3 linked regions of the Caenorhabditis elegans genome follow. The protein of the gene in region 2 purifies or fractionates together with the protein of the main gene of each other region. This does not show direct contact. Each region holds a gene or a part of one and is shown on either strand. Other genes may lie near its edges. The genes, in order: apm-3, apd-3 and Y50D4B.6.

Region 1 (4,731 bases), on a different chromosome or scaffold from region 2:
CTAAAATGTATGTATAGAAAAAAATTTTAAAGTCGGTTAGGTAACACCGCAACCAATAAGGTACAGGATTGTTGATCACTTGGAGAACGGTCGAACGGTCATATTATTCTACCCAAGTTTTTAAAAAACATAGACAATTTCTGAATTCTACTAATATACTTTTTGTGAGACTGGGCAAGAATGAAAGTTTCCAAATTTTAAAACTTTATCTCACTAAAATTCTATCTCACTTCTCCAAAAAGTCGGATAAACAGCCGCACAGCGCTGATAGACAAATATAATTTTAAAAAGAATTTACATTTCCTGGATGATTTTTCCGTATAATTCCTGGTCATTCAAATTGATATCTGACGATTTTTAGGACCACTACCAAGAGTTTTCCTAGTCATATTAAAAATTTGATTACTTGATTTGTTTTTTTATAAACTTGCATGTTTTTACTTTGCAAGTATAGGGGTATTCACTTCAAGCTGATAAAGCTAACCTTTAATCCGGACAGAACCAACTGGTTAATTTTGAATTTCAGTGAAATTGGTGGATTCTCTGCAACAGTAGTTCCGCTCACAGCAACTGATCCTTTGAGTGTTGATGGTTTTCCGACTTCAATTTTTCCAATGGTCCATTGCAATAGTTTAGTCGTCGGGTCGAACGCGATTCTTCCGTGACTCGCCACCAAATTGCAGTTTTGTACACATTTTGGCATTGTGATTTCAAGAACAACGTCTTCCAGCTTAACATCGTTTTTGTTAGAGGGATTGTGATTTAGATCTTCGAAAACTCACCACTTTACCCATGCTTAGCTTTGGTCCAACTGTGAGGTCAAGTTTTCCAGCATTTGGTTTCAAGGAGATCACTTGTCTAACGTAGATTGGAATGGCAACCATACTGAAATTAATTAAGTTATAGAAATTTTATCTGTAGAATGAAAATCATTACTTTTGTGCAGCAATATGATAGGACAACAGACGAAAGTTGCCATCTGGAGGAACAAATGAAAGAACCTTCTCGTTCTGAAAAAATTGTGATTAAGATATAAATGTTATGAGCGGTTTACCTCCCAGCGCTTGTATCTGACACATGGATGGAAGGATACATCATCTAGAAGTCTTGGGTTGATAAGGGTCATTGTGAGATCAGGCATTCCGGACAGTTTACAGCAAACGTCAACCTGAAATTTGTCAAGGATAAGATGAATATATTCTTAATATTTCCAAATATTTTTCAGAATTTTTACCTCCAGAACACATGCTAGTTCAAAACGTCAGCACCCAAATTTGGTGGTGTGAAGTATTATATTATTAAAATATTTTCATTTGGTTTATTTATAATTTTGTATTTAAATCTTTAGAGGTGCACAGAACTAAACAATTTTGCAATCCGATATTCACTACAATTACAAATTGATAGAGATTATCAGTAGCCATAATCGCTTTATTTCCGCAAAATACGTTTTAAGTTTTGAAGTTTAAAAGATTTTGGCATATAATACTACTACAAAGGTCCGCAAACCTCTGGTTCTACAAAAATGTTTTAATAAACAGGACAAAATAGTATGTTCAATATGAAGGCATAATTTGATTTTTTGTTTCAAATACTCAAAACTCACATATCCCTGAATCTCGGCAAAAACAGTGGATCCTTGCTTATCAACAATCACGTCAATTTCCTCAATCACATCAAAATACGCTTCATTATTTGTGTACTTCACTCCTTGTCGCCTCCATGGAATATTTGATAGCTGCCCCGTTGGCAGGGTTTCAGAAAGGTTTGTACGGCCGGTGACCTGATTAGCAATATTGCGCAGAAAGTTGGGCGGCTTGATCAAATCTTGAAGGATGTTCATTTCCGTCACCAGTGGAAAGCCGTTGTCCAGCATTTCATCGAGCAACTGGAAATCGGAATGTTAAGCCTCAATTTTGAAGTTATAAAGCTCACCTCAAAAACCATCACGCAATTTTCTTTCATAGAAGAATCCGAAAATTCATCAAAGTATTGTGTGAAGGTTTGAATTACTCTGTGTAAAAATTCGATGACCATGAGGGGAGGTGCTGGAAAAAAATTAAGTAGGATCGTGTGGTCAGGTTTTTGATTTTTTTTTCCGAAAAAATACTCACTTTCAACTGTGATAACTGCGACTAGAAATAAGTTGTTCTGATATACGTTTATCAAATAATGATGTGGAGTTGAAATTATTGGAGGCACATCTTCGGGGTGAATGCTCTGAAAATGTATGGAATTTGGTCAGACCAGTTTAATTTAACAAAATTTAGAAGCTAACCTTTTTCTGAATATCAAAGAAATAATCGCAAATTGATCGATGAATAACAGATTTCCAATGCTTTTCAAGTAATACATCACTGAAATTTTGAAAAGTAATACAAAAAAATTTTATAATTTCAAATCAAAAATCACTCACCCACTACTATTTACAAAAAATAGACTGTTCAGCATAACTAAAATCCAATAAATAAGTAGTTTGTTTTGACGAGATGAACCTTCTCCTCCAGTAGATAACAGCTAATAAACAACGCGCAGGGAGTTATTTCGGAGTGTCGTTCGGCAAGGGAAATAAAGAAAAGAGAACAGGACGAGAATGAGGACGGGTCAAATGCGTGAAGAGGAGAGGTCCACTACTATATCTAATCGCGTTGTATGTCCGGCGTTGGGCATCATCGATTTTCTTTGTTTCACTTGGAAACATGATGCACTGACCGAATTTGACAATGCACTGACCGAATTTGACAATGCACTGACCTAATTTGAAAACGCACATATCGAATTTGAAAAATGCACTGACCGAATTTGAAAATGGACTAATCGAATTTGAAAATTCCCAGGGCCAAACTTCTGAATGCACTGACCAAACTTCTGAATGCACTGACCAAACTTCTGAATGAACTGACGAAAGTTCGGAATGCACTGATCAAAGTTCTGAATGCACTGGCCAATTAAAAACAAATCTTCAACTTACTTGCTTTCAAATTTTCTCATAAGTTTTTTCAAGTTGTAAATTGATTTCATACACATATTATTTAGTCAATTAAATGATTTTTTGTATTTTTATAGATGTTTTAGTTTTTTTTTCTAGATTATCGTTGAATTCAGACCCACAATCTGAAAATTACATAGAAGGTTTCTGATAGCATTCCAATAATTAACAACAACAATTGAAATATTATTTGAAACCTTTGAATCTGATTTTTAAAAATAAATTGGCAAAATAGATTTATATGAGAAAAAATGAAATGAAAGAAAACGAAAAAGGTGACAATTTGACAGAAAAATTGACTTGAAGCATAGACAAAAAGATGTACTTACAAAGAAACAATGAAAAATGGGGAAAAGGTGGAAAAGACGTAGAAAAGTTGAATGACAGAGTGACACAATATCATGTGATAAATTGTACAGATTCATAGAAGGCTTGGCGGCAAGTTGGCGCTTGGCGATGGCTGGTCTTCACTATCGTTTCCGTGGAGACGCATTCTGGCAAAATCCTCAAAGATTAGATCGTCGTCGTAGCGGGGCTCTCTGAAAAATCATTGTGTATTAAATTGAATCATTCAACTCTAATCAAAAACTTACAATTCTTCGTGTAGTTGGATGAGATCAATATCGACTGGTTCGGAGCCATTTGTTGCTTCGATTGATGGAAGGCCACGATCCTGAAATTGAATAATATGGATTCAAAATTTGATTCGTAAAAAAATTATTTTGAAAATTAAAACCTACCGTTCTCTCGGGGCTCTCTGGAGGCTTCGAGTGTGTTAATGTGAACGGCAGCTCGGCGAACAGTTCTCCGTTTAGTGGTCCAAGAACTGCGCGAACTTTCACTCTGTATTGAACTACAATTCCAAGACTTTCCTTTGATGTTTTAGAGTCCAATCTGCAAAAAATTAATTATTTGATTGCCAAAATATTTTTGCTCAAACTCATATCATTGTTGTCTTGGATTTTGACGTACAATTGTTAACTAAGAATCATGCTATAACACATTTTTGAACTAAAATTTTTTGTATATACACGCATATCGCCTGGCTAGTGAATACCAACAAAATTTATCATAATTTGAATTGTCGAATGGTAAGCAAGCTTGATACATATTGTAGAAAATTTCTAGTTTCCTTTTTCAAATCAATCCTTTAAATTGGAAGGATTTTTTGGTTTTCTTAAACTTAACATTGACGATATATTTGTTCTGTAACTTATAAATTGCCCATTTGCCGGTAGCCTGGTCTCGGCAGCCAACTTGTAAATAGTTCGTTGAACTATGCAGTATCGTTTCAATGTACATATAGCATTTCTTAGTGGTTCTTTAGTGTGCTAATTAAATATTAAAAAAAGATAAATAAATGTCTCACATCCTATCCAACTGTTTCTGAATATCCTTTGAAATTTCCATTGAAAATAATCGACAATTTTTTTGTTCATAAAAACCCCCCGGTTCTCCATTAGTGAGCAGATATGCATTCCAAACATACATTCCTCTTTCCAAAACGTTATCCAATTAAACATCTCAATTCGTTCCCCACTCTCCTGAACTCTTTTGCTTAACATAAAAAGTGTATCTAAGTAGATGGAGAACTGGCGAAATTCGTTTGTAGAAGGAGACGGGGGGAAATTGAACCTTCTGAGTAAGGAAATGGCGGAAGTTTACCCTCTCTTTTCCCTTTCCCCCCATTTTCTTCTCTCGGCATCCCGATATATATATATGTTTGCGCGCCCTCTCTTTCC
Region 2 (4,731 bases):
AAATTTCTGAAAAATTTAAAAAAACATCGGGAAAAAATTTCCGAAAAATTTTTTTGAAAGATAACTCCTAATGGTTTTTTGATTATGATAAACTAATTGATAGTCAAAATATTAAATGTGTTTCTAGACGCCCATGTTGTTTTCGAGAAGAATAAAATGGCTTTTTGCAATATTTTTCATATTTTTCTGATCATGCATTTTTTGCTGTTTTACGATTCATATCTTTGCGCACATATGAGATATAACAAAACGGTCAACTGAATACCTGTTAATAATAAAAAAGCACTTATTTTTTGATTTAAAGATTTTTGATCAGACACCTGGTTTTGGAGTTACTGGCAAAAACATGAAAAATTAGGATTTTTTGAAAATTGGACCAAGCGCACTTCTATCGACTGTAACTCAGAAACGTGAGGAGATCCAACGTTGCACCAAACTGATAAATTGTAGCTTATAATATGTACATTAATGTTGTAATACATTACTTTTGTATATCTCTCATGGTTTCAAAGTTAGCACCGCTCAAAAATAAAAAAGACAATTTTGCAAGCGTTTTAGGCACTTCCAACAGATGTAGCGCTACCAATAAGCTATGCCTGAGTCTGAAAATTTTCAGTTTTATTTAACTAACTGTCTAATACATCTACGCATACAAAGTTTTTGATTTCATGAGGAAATAAAAAAAATCGAAAAAAAAAATTTTGTTTCGTTGTCATAGTTCGGAGTTTTAAACAACCTGGAAGTTGACCGAAATGGCTGATATCGTTGGGCTTGTCATTACTAACAGTCCTCTATACAACCGCAAAAAAATATCCAAGAAAAAATCAAAACTGGAAAAAAACGACAAAACTTATTGAACGACCTAATAGTTTGTGCTCGCCGCTGACTAAAATTGATAAGATAATTTTAGTTCTTATCTGTCTGTCTCCCGCTCGTACTGTTCCTCCAGTTGTTATTAGTCTTCTATGATTCTGCTAGATAATAATAAATGTTTTGTCTGAAATTGTCTGAAAATTCCATGCGATCACATTTCGAAGAGGCGGCGGCGACGGTTCGAAAAAATTCAAAAAGTCTGAGAAATCGACGAGCCGATCAGGGGTTTCTCCTAGCGCAGACGTCATTTCAGTTGTGAGTTTTTGAAAAAAAAGATTGAACAGATGAAAACGCGCTCTATTGCGAATTATCGGTGAATCTCATTAGAGCGCGCTTTCTAGAAGGTTTTAAGATGAACATTTCGAAAAAAAACGTTCCAATTTCCTTTTTTAGGTCAAACTTCTGGCCTAGAATTCCCTCTAGTCCCTCCAACACTTGTCGTTGTCCTTAATAATTCTTCAGTGCCTTTGGTCGATATATCCGTCTCCGCAAGCTGTGCTGCTGCACCCCTCTGTGCCGCTACTTTCCTGTCTGCGTCTCGACCCCTGCCCGCTCTATTTCCCTCATTTTCTCTCCGCACGTTCTATGTTTGATTCTATCTTTGGGGCGAGGAGGGAAGAAGATGCGTCGTCTTTTTCGTCCTCTTTTAGGAGCCCTTCTGTGTTTGGAACTGACGCAGAAGCTGAAGAGATGGAGGACGACGTCCCCATTTAATCCTTCACTCATTTTATCGCCTTTTCCCCACAAAAACCCGCGCTTTTCGGACATTTTTTTGGAATTTTTCGGGTTTTTTTTTGAGGCATGTTGCACCATGTTAGTTCCTGCGAATTTAAGGTTTTTATTTTATTGTGAAATTTTTTTAAAGATTTTTTTAAATTTTGAAAAACATTAATTTGTCTGTTTTAAAGCAAATTTAGAATTTAATTTACCTATTTTTTTCGGATTTTCTTCTATTTCTGGCCATCTAAACCGAAATTAGAATGGATTTTACAGAAATGCTACCCAAAATTAATTCATTTAAACATTTCCGGTTTTCTTGTGGCTTTTCGTGATTAATTTATTCATTTTTACCAAGAAAAAACAATAAAAATCGATAAAAACTTCAATAAATCGATTTATTCGAGTACTGTTTTAAAGGCGCATGACATCAAGATTTTGTTGGGTTTTGACACGAGTTTTTGTTTTGTGCGAGTTCAGGTTGACTCTTTTGTATTTTTCAATTAAAGAAATTGTGAAATAGGTTGATGAAATTTTAAAAACACTTTTTATTGTTTTCGTGGAGAAAAAATCAGATTTCGTGCTTAAATTCTGAAAAATTATGGTAAAAACCGTATGCCTTCTTTAAAGGTACATGGAGGAAGTTTTAGTTTGGGTCTCGAGGCGATAGTTTTGAAGATTATTTTATTTTATTTTTTGACGGTTTTAAAGCAATTTTTCTCTATTTAACCAAGATTTTTTGTTGTTTTTGTCACAAAAATCACAACATTAAATTTTTTAAAAATATTTTTCACAAAAATCACCTCACCGAACCCTTCTGCGTGTCATTTTTCACTCCCAAAACGAAAAAAACTTTAAAAAAAGCAAAATTTTTTCAGATTCGAAGAAATGGCGTTACGCAAGGTGCGTAGCAACATTGACCGGATCTTTGACAAGTCTCTGACCGACTTGATCCGCGGAATTCGCAATAATAAGGATAATGAGGTGGGATTTATTGGTTTTCCGGGAAAAAATCTAATTTTTTGATATTTTCAGTCCCGATACATCACTCAATGTATGGAAGAGATCAAGCAGGAGCTCCGACAAGACTCGATTTATGTGAAGGCGAACGCAATTGAAAAGTTGGCCTATGTGAGTTCCGGCGTGCCGAAAAACTTGAAAATTAGCCTCTATTCAGTGGAAAAACGCTCTAAAAATGAAGAAAAACACGAAAAATTGAATTTTTCACTTAAAAATCTGTAAAAACCATGACTTTTTATGTTTTCAGCTCCAAATGCTCGGTTATGACATCTCATGGGCTTCGTTCAACGTGATAGAAGTGATGGCTTCTACAAAATACACGGAAAAGCGAATAGGGTTGGTTTTTATTCGATTTTTGCTGAATTTTGACCTAAAAACTCCGGTTAAAACGTATTTTTCGATGATTTTAAGCCGAAAATTCAGTAAAAAATCAATAATTTTTCAGATATCTCGCCGCTGCACAAAGCTTCCACGATGAGACTGATGTCCTTATGTTGACGACGAATTTGATAAGAAAAGATGTGAATAGGTAAGGTTCTTGGGCGAAAAAGTGTGAAAAACTGGAAAAAATACAAATTTTCGCCAATTTTGAGCTAAAAAATGCGATTTTTGATGTTGGAAATGTTGAAAAAATGCAAATTTGGATTTTGGCAAGAAATTTCTGGAAATTTACAAATAAAAAATGAAATTTCATTTTTTTAAATTAGAATCTTTTTAAAATTTTATTTTTCTAATAAAAAAAACCGAAAAATATCATTTTTTCTGAAAAAAAAATTGAAAAATTATTTTTTTCTCAAAAAATTCAATTTTTTATCTAAAAAAACGATAAAAAACCATAATCAGAAAAAAAGGCAAAAATCCAGATTTTTCTTTTAAAAAATGGATAAAAAACACAATTTTTTCTCTAAAAAATCAAAAAAATTCAGATTTTTGCTTTAAAAAATACAATTTTTTATCTAAAAAATTGATAAAAAATGCATATTTTTTCTGAAAAAAAGGCAAAAATCTAGATTTTTCTGAAAAAAATTGATAAAAAATCCATTATTTTCTCTAAAAAAATCGAAAAAGTTCAGATTTTTTCCCAAAAAAAGGGGAAAAGAAAAAATATAGATTTTTATTTAAAAATTGATAAAAAATCCAATTTTTTCTAAAAAAAAACGGAAAAAATTCGGTTGTTTCTCAAAAAAAAGGAAAAATATAGATTTTATTTCCAAAATAAAATGAAAAAAAAACTGGAAAAAATAATATTTTTTCAAAAAAAATTTTTTTGCCAAAAAATCAATTTTTTCCTCAAAATATCGAAAAAGTTCCAATTTTTTTCAAAAAAAAAATCACGAAAAATTCAATTTTTCAGCTCAAATATGTACGAAAGCGGTATCGCATTGGGTGGTCTCAGCTGCTTCGTAACTCCAGATTTGGCTCGAGATCTCGCAGCGGACGTTGTAAATTTGCTCTCTTGCTCGCGGAATTATACGAGAAAACGGGCGGTTCTGCTGCTTTATAAGATATTTTTAAAGTATCCAGACGCTCTACGACCAACATTTCCCCGATTGAAAGAAAAATTGGAAGATCCGGATCCGGGAGTTCAGAGCTCGGCGGTTAATGTGATTTGTGAGCTGGCGAGGAAAAATCCGAAGAATTATTTGACACTGGCACCGGTTTTCTTTAAATTAATGACTACTTCTTCGAATAATTGGATGCTTATTAAAATTATTAAATTGGTACGGACATTTCGAGGCAGAAATTGGAAAAAATCGGTTGAAAATTGATTTTTTTTCCGAAAAAATCGTTTTTTTTCGGTTACTTATGCGAAAAAATTGAATTTTTTTCGATTATTTTAAGCGAAAAAATTGGATTTTTTTCGAAAAAAATGATAATAAAATTTCGATTTTCTTTAGAGAAAAAATTGAATTTTTTCGGATTTTTTTTCGATTTTTTTTTCAGAATTTTTTTGGAGAAAAATTGAATTTTTTCGGATTTTTTTTCGATTTTTTTTTCAGAATTTTTTTGGAGAAAAATTGAATTTTTTCGATTTTTTTCTAAAAAAAAGTGAAATTTTCAGATTTTTTTTTTGAGAAAAAAAGCTAATTTTTTTTTCTGAAAAATTGAAGTATTCCGAAT
Region 3 (4,731 bases), on a different chromosome or scaffold from region 2:
TGAAAATTAAGGTTAATTTAAAAAACTGTATTTTTTTCTTACATTCAAAGAAGGTTGACAAGCTGCGGCACTTTCTCCATAATCATCAATTTCTTGCATTCCATTCATTTTAATTACTATTTTTTCAATTGATTTCCCAACAACCTTTAATCCGAACTCCCAGAGAATCTAGAAAATACCGATGGACAACAGTTTGTGAAAGATACTTAAAACCCACTGTTCCAATAATTGTTTTATCGATTTTTTCAAAATAAACGACACCCAATGTCCTATTTTCTACTCGTTTTACATTACCAACGAAATACGGTTCAAGTGATGATCCATTTTGTCGTTTGTGTGAATAAGTGTTGCTGATAATGTCATATGTAAATTTCACGTAGTTATCTTCCAAATCCGGATGTAATGGAATAATTTCGCTTGGAGAATAGAAGTATATAGATAAAAAATACTGATCTGACACTGGAAATCATATAGTTGTTTTAATTGCAAGACAACAATGAAAACAAGTCCAATGGAAACTATTGCCATAATTATATTTTTAAGAGTTTGCTCTTTTCGCCGCTCACAGCTTGAATAAATTAGGTGCAGTTCGTTTAAAATTACAAATAAAACTTAACCACCCCAGTAGACTTCAATTGAAAAACTCTCCACTTTGTTTCCATTCTTCAGGTCTGCTTTGAAAACTTTTATATCTTTGTCCAGATTTATCTGAAATAGTAAATGTTACCTTACCTTATTTAGCATATATATAACTCACATGTATAAATAATTTATCACTTGTAGGCTTCTCAATGGTCAGACTCTGATTTATTGGAATCTTAGGGCATATCTGAGTATTGAGGTTAAAAAACACTGTATTGTTTTTCTTACATTCAACAAATATGGACAGGCTTTGATTATTCCATTACCATCAGCAATCTCTTGTATTCCTTCCATTTTAATTACTATTTTTTCAATTGATTTTCCCTCAGATTTCAAGTCGAACTTCCATTCAAGCTAGAAATACCGATGATAAAAATATTTTGTTAAATAAACTAAAAACCCACAGCTCCAGAAGTCCTTTTATCAATATTTTGAAATAAACGGCACCCAACGTCCTATTTTCTACTCGTTGTACATTAAAAACGGAATACGGTTCAAATGATGATCCACCATGTCGTTTGTATGAATAAGTGTTGCTGATAATGTCATATGTAAATTTCGCGTAGTTCTCTCCCCAATCCGGATTTAATGGAATAATGTCGCCTCTAGATCTGATTGGTGTATACGAAATATTCTCATGTGACACTGGAAAACATATGGACTGTTTTGCTGCAAGACAGTTAGGAACTGTTTGAGGGATTAATTATAGTACTTGGGAACGACCGTTGTCTCCAGCAAGAAGACGATGTTAATATTGTAGGGCCAAACTCGGGCAAGAAGCTAGCCCGAGATGCCGATTATTTGACCACCACAAGAATTTTACTTTCACACTTCAAAGAGATTAAATCTAGTACAAGTACACATACTGCCTTTTATGTAGCCAGAATATAGTAACCAGTTAGTCATATAACATTCACAATTAATTCCTTAAAAAACCCATGGAACACCAAAATGGAACTACCTAGTTTTTTGGTATTAGGAAGAAATATTAGGAAGGACAGTAGACATTAGGAAGAGATTTAACATGAGAAAAACAGCTAACTATAAACATTCCAAATTAATATTAAAAAGAAAACTCACCAGGAGTTTCCGGTGTCGGTTTATTAATTGATGATGATTGCGTAAAATCTTCCAAATGAGAAGACCCAATATTACTGATGATATCAAATGCATTTTTTATGAAACATGTAAAACATTTATTATTTTCAACAAAACTCCCCACGTTCTACTACTTACTAGGCTCGCTACCATTACTAGTCAGAACTGTCAAGCCATAAGCAATTGGTGCTGATATGATCAAAATTCCAATGTATATTAAAATTATTTTAAGTTTGGTTTTGCACTGGGAATCGTTTGATCGTGATCTTGAACTTGATCTTAATGTAAGTGACATTTGAAGAATTGAAAAACGGTTGAAAGATCTTTCCTGCTTGAGCTACGTGATAGCAGTCTATCATTTTGTCCAATCGAAGGGCTACGTGGTGGCATCGTTTTATAGCTTTGAAAAAAAAAACGTAATTAAATAACAATATTATAGAAAGAACCTGTTACATAATATTTTGTGAAATGTGGGGAAATCTTCAGTCACTGACGAAAAATAATAAAATTAAGAGAGTTTTTTTTTGGCAAGGAAGTGATAATTGATTAACAACAAATGACAGCTGAGGAATTATTTTATAGCAACACTTGAGAGTGTGTTTTACTTATTTCAAAATTGTTTGAACCTTTGTTATCAATACATTCAATGATTGAATCAACCAAGATTGCAATAAATTTGACCTTGATACATTATTGCTGATATTTCACTTCATTCATACTATTCGTAACTCATGATTGATCGCAATATTCTGGTTATTTTCTATTGCATAGTGGTCATTGCACTTTCAGTTTTATTTTACTATGTTTGGAAATTCTATTATTTGAGAAAAGAGGAACATGAGGAAACAAGGTAATTTTTTGAAGAAATTCAGTTTTGTCTGGAAATTCACGTTTTCTGAGAAAAAAAAATTCTAGAGAAATTAATATTAAAAACAAAAAATTATGCCGTTAAACTCAAATTTTCTGAAAAATAAACCTTTTGAATACATTTAAAATTTCCCAGAAAGCCGATGAAGAGTACTCATGTGGTGTCAAAATGTCTCATTTCGGTTTGATCTACAAAAAATGCAGGAGACGAGACTTTTTAACTAATTTCACATGGTGAAGAGCGTGCTGACGTCACGCTTTATTGGGGAAAAATTCCCGCATTTTTTGTAGATCAAACCGAAATGAGACACTTTGAGACCATGTGAGTACTGAAACTTCTAAAAGTTTCTAAATCAAACAAAACTCGAAAAACATTGGAAATGTTTGGAAAACTTTTAGAAATTTCTAGAACCTTCTGAATAATCCCACTATATAGTAAAAATCCAGAAGTTTTTAAAAAGTTGCGAAAACTGTGGAATATTGTTTAAAACTACTTCAAAAATTTTGAAGGTCCACAAAACTCCTGGAAAACCAGTCTTTTCTATTAAAAAATCTAGTTGTAAATTATTTTTTCATGATTTCCTATTCAGAAGTCTAGAATCTGGAATTATCCACTCATCAAGCCAGAAAACACCTTCTAGCGTCCGAGAAAATGAAAGTCTCCTCCAAGCCAATGAAGAAAATGTTCCAATTGGATTGGAGACCGAACCCATTAATGCCATAATCAAAAACCTAAAATTTGACGAGCGATTTGAAATTGATGTCAATAAGTTTTCCTTCTACAACTTAAGCTTCTTAGGGAATGGATATTATGGGAAAGTGTTCAAAGAGCGAATGCACAAGAAACAGAAAAATGGTCTAGACTCTGAGAATTCTTTGGAAGTTGCCGTTAAACGTGAGTTGAACAGTGTAACTATTTATTAATACCTTAACATATTAGGTGCATTAAGACCTGAAGATCCATCGGAACAACAGTTGATGTGTGAAGAACTTAACGTGATGTGTGTTGTTGGAAAACATCCAAACATCCTTGCACTAATTAGATGGATCCGAACCAATGAGTAAGTTTTATTGAGCAAAAAACTTACATCCACAATATTCCAGAATTCTTATTGTTTCCGAGTTCGTAGAGAAAGGGGATCTTGTAGAGTATTTGAGAGCTCGGAGAAGATATTTCAATAAGGATATTGTTTGTGTCGAAGATAATGGTCGTTTGCTGTGCCCGACGGACTTGTTATCATTTGCTTTTCAGATTGCTAATGGAATGAAGTTTTTAGGCAATGTCGCGGTGAGGATATTCAGTTTACAAACATTAAATTTGTTATATACATAATTCCAGAACTTTCGCATAGCTACCGATTTTTTAAAAGATATTTTCCAGAAATGTCCACATTTTTTAGGAGAATTCTAGGACAATTCAGAGTTTTTTAAAACGAAATTTCGAAATTTCGATTTTCCCGCAAAAATGTTGCTCAGAAAACTTTAAACTCCCGCCAAAATTTAGGACACTATCAACATTCAAATAGAATTTTTAAAAAAATCCAAGATAAAAATCAACAGAATTTTCTAGTGTGTTCATCGCGATCTGGCACTACGAAATGTGTTTGTCAAAAGAAATCGAATTATTCGAATTGCTGATTTTGGATTGGCTAGATGGCATGAAAACAAAGAATATTATAGGTTAGTTTGTTGAAGTGTACAACATTTCAAAATTTTTTTCAGAAAGAAGACCGACGTAGGTTTTCCAATGAAGTGGTTGGCACCGGAGTGTTTCGAGTTTGAACAAGAACGCGAGAATATAAAGTTTGATTCGAAATCTGACATTTGGTCATATGGAGTTTGTCTTTATGAAATATTTTCATTGGGAGTGTCACCTTATGAGGGTCTCGATTTTCGGCCAGATTATTTCCAGGGTTTGATGAAGTACGTGAGAGATGGGAATCAACTTCCAAGTCCGGAGCATGGGAGTGATAAAATGTGAGTTTTTCGAGTACTGTAGAGTAATCGTATGGTATTCTTGAGAACAGGCAAAACATTTATTTTTAATCTGTTTACTTGAAACCAAGGGTGTCATTTTTCGATTTATTGATTTTTCAGTGAAAATCGAAAAATCGAAAAATTGAA

Evidence for each region.
Region 1: the proteins of apd-3 (region 2) and apm-3 fractionate together in Caenorhabditis elegans (co-fractionation; one large-scale study listed by BioGRID). This does not show direct contact.
Region 3: the proteins of apd-3 (region 2) and Y50D4B.6 fractionate together in Caenorhabditis elegans (co-fractionation; one large-scale study listed by BioGRID). This does not show direct contact.

Annotation. Positions count from the first base shown.
Region 1 is NC_003284.9:952,717-957,447, reverse strand, and holds the start of apm-3 (MHD domain-containing protein), read right to left. Parts: upstream 2,474-4,731; 5' UTR 2,452-2,473; coding exon 2,417-2,451; intron 2,358-2,416; coding exon 2,279-2,357; intron 2,221-2,278; coding exon 2,115-2,220; intron 2,049-2,114; coding exon 1,936-2,048; intron 1,889-1,935; coding exon 1,607-1,888; intron 1,169-1,606; coding exon 1,055-1,168; intron 1,011-1,054; coding exon 937-1,010; intron 886-936; coding exon 783-885; intron 731-782; coding exon 485-730; intron 1-484. Other genes in the region: Beta-arrestin arr-1, read right to left, coding at 3,411-3,528, 3,583-3,662, 3,730-3,883.
Region 2 is NC_003280.10:3,544,169-3,548,899, reverse strand, and holds the start of apd-3 (AP-3 complex subunit delta), read left to right. Parts: upstream 1-2,468; 5' UTR 2,469-2,478; coding exon 2,479-2,574; intron 2,575-2,625; coding exon 2,626-2,721; intron 2,722-2,857; coding exon 2,858-2,946; intron 2,947-3,055; coding exon 3,056-3,139; intron 3,140-3,964; coding exon 3,965-4,331; intron 4,332-4,731.
Region 3 is NC_003283.11:1,081,913-1,086,643, forward strand, and holds the start of Y50D4B.6 (receptor protein-tyrosine kinase), read left to right. Parts: upstream 1-2,403; 5' UTR 2,404-2,471; coding exon 2,472-2,590; intron 2,591-3,197; coding exon 3,198-3,502; intron 3,503-3,547; coding exon 3,548-3,668; intron 3,669-3,711; coding exon 3,712-3,895; intron 3,896-4,177; coding exon 4,178-4,287; intron 4,288-4,329; coding exon 4,330-4,584; intron 4,585-4,731.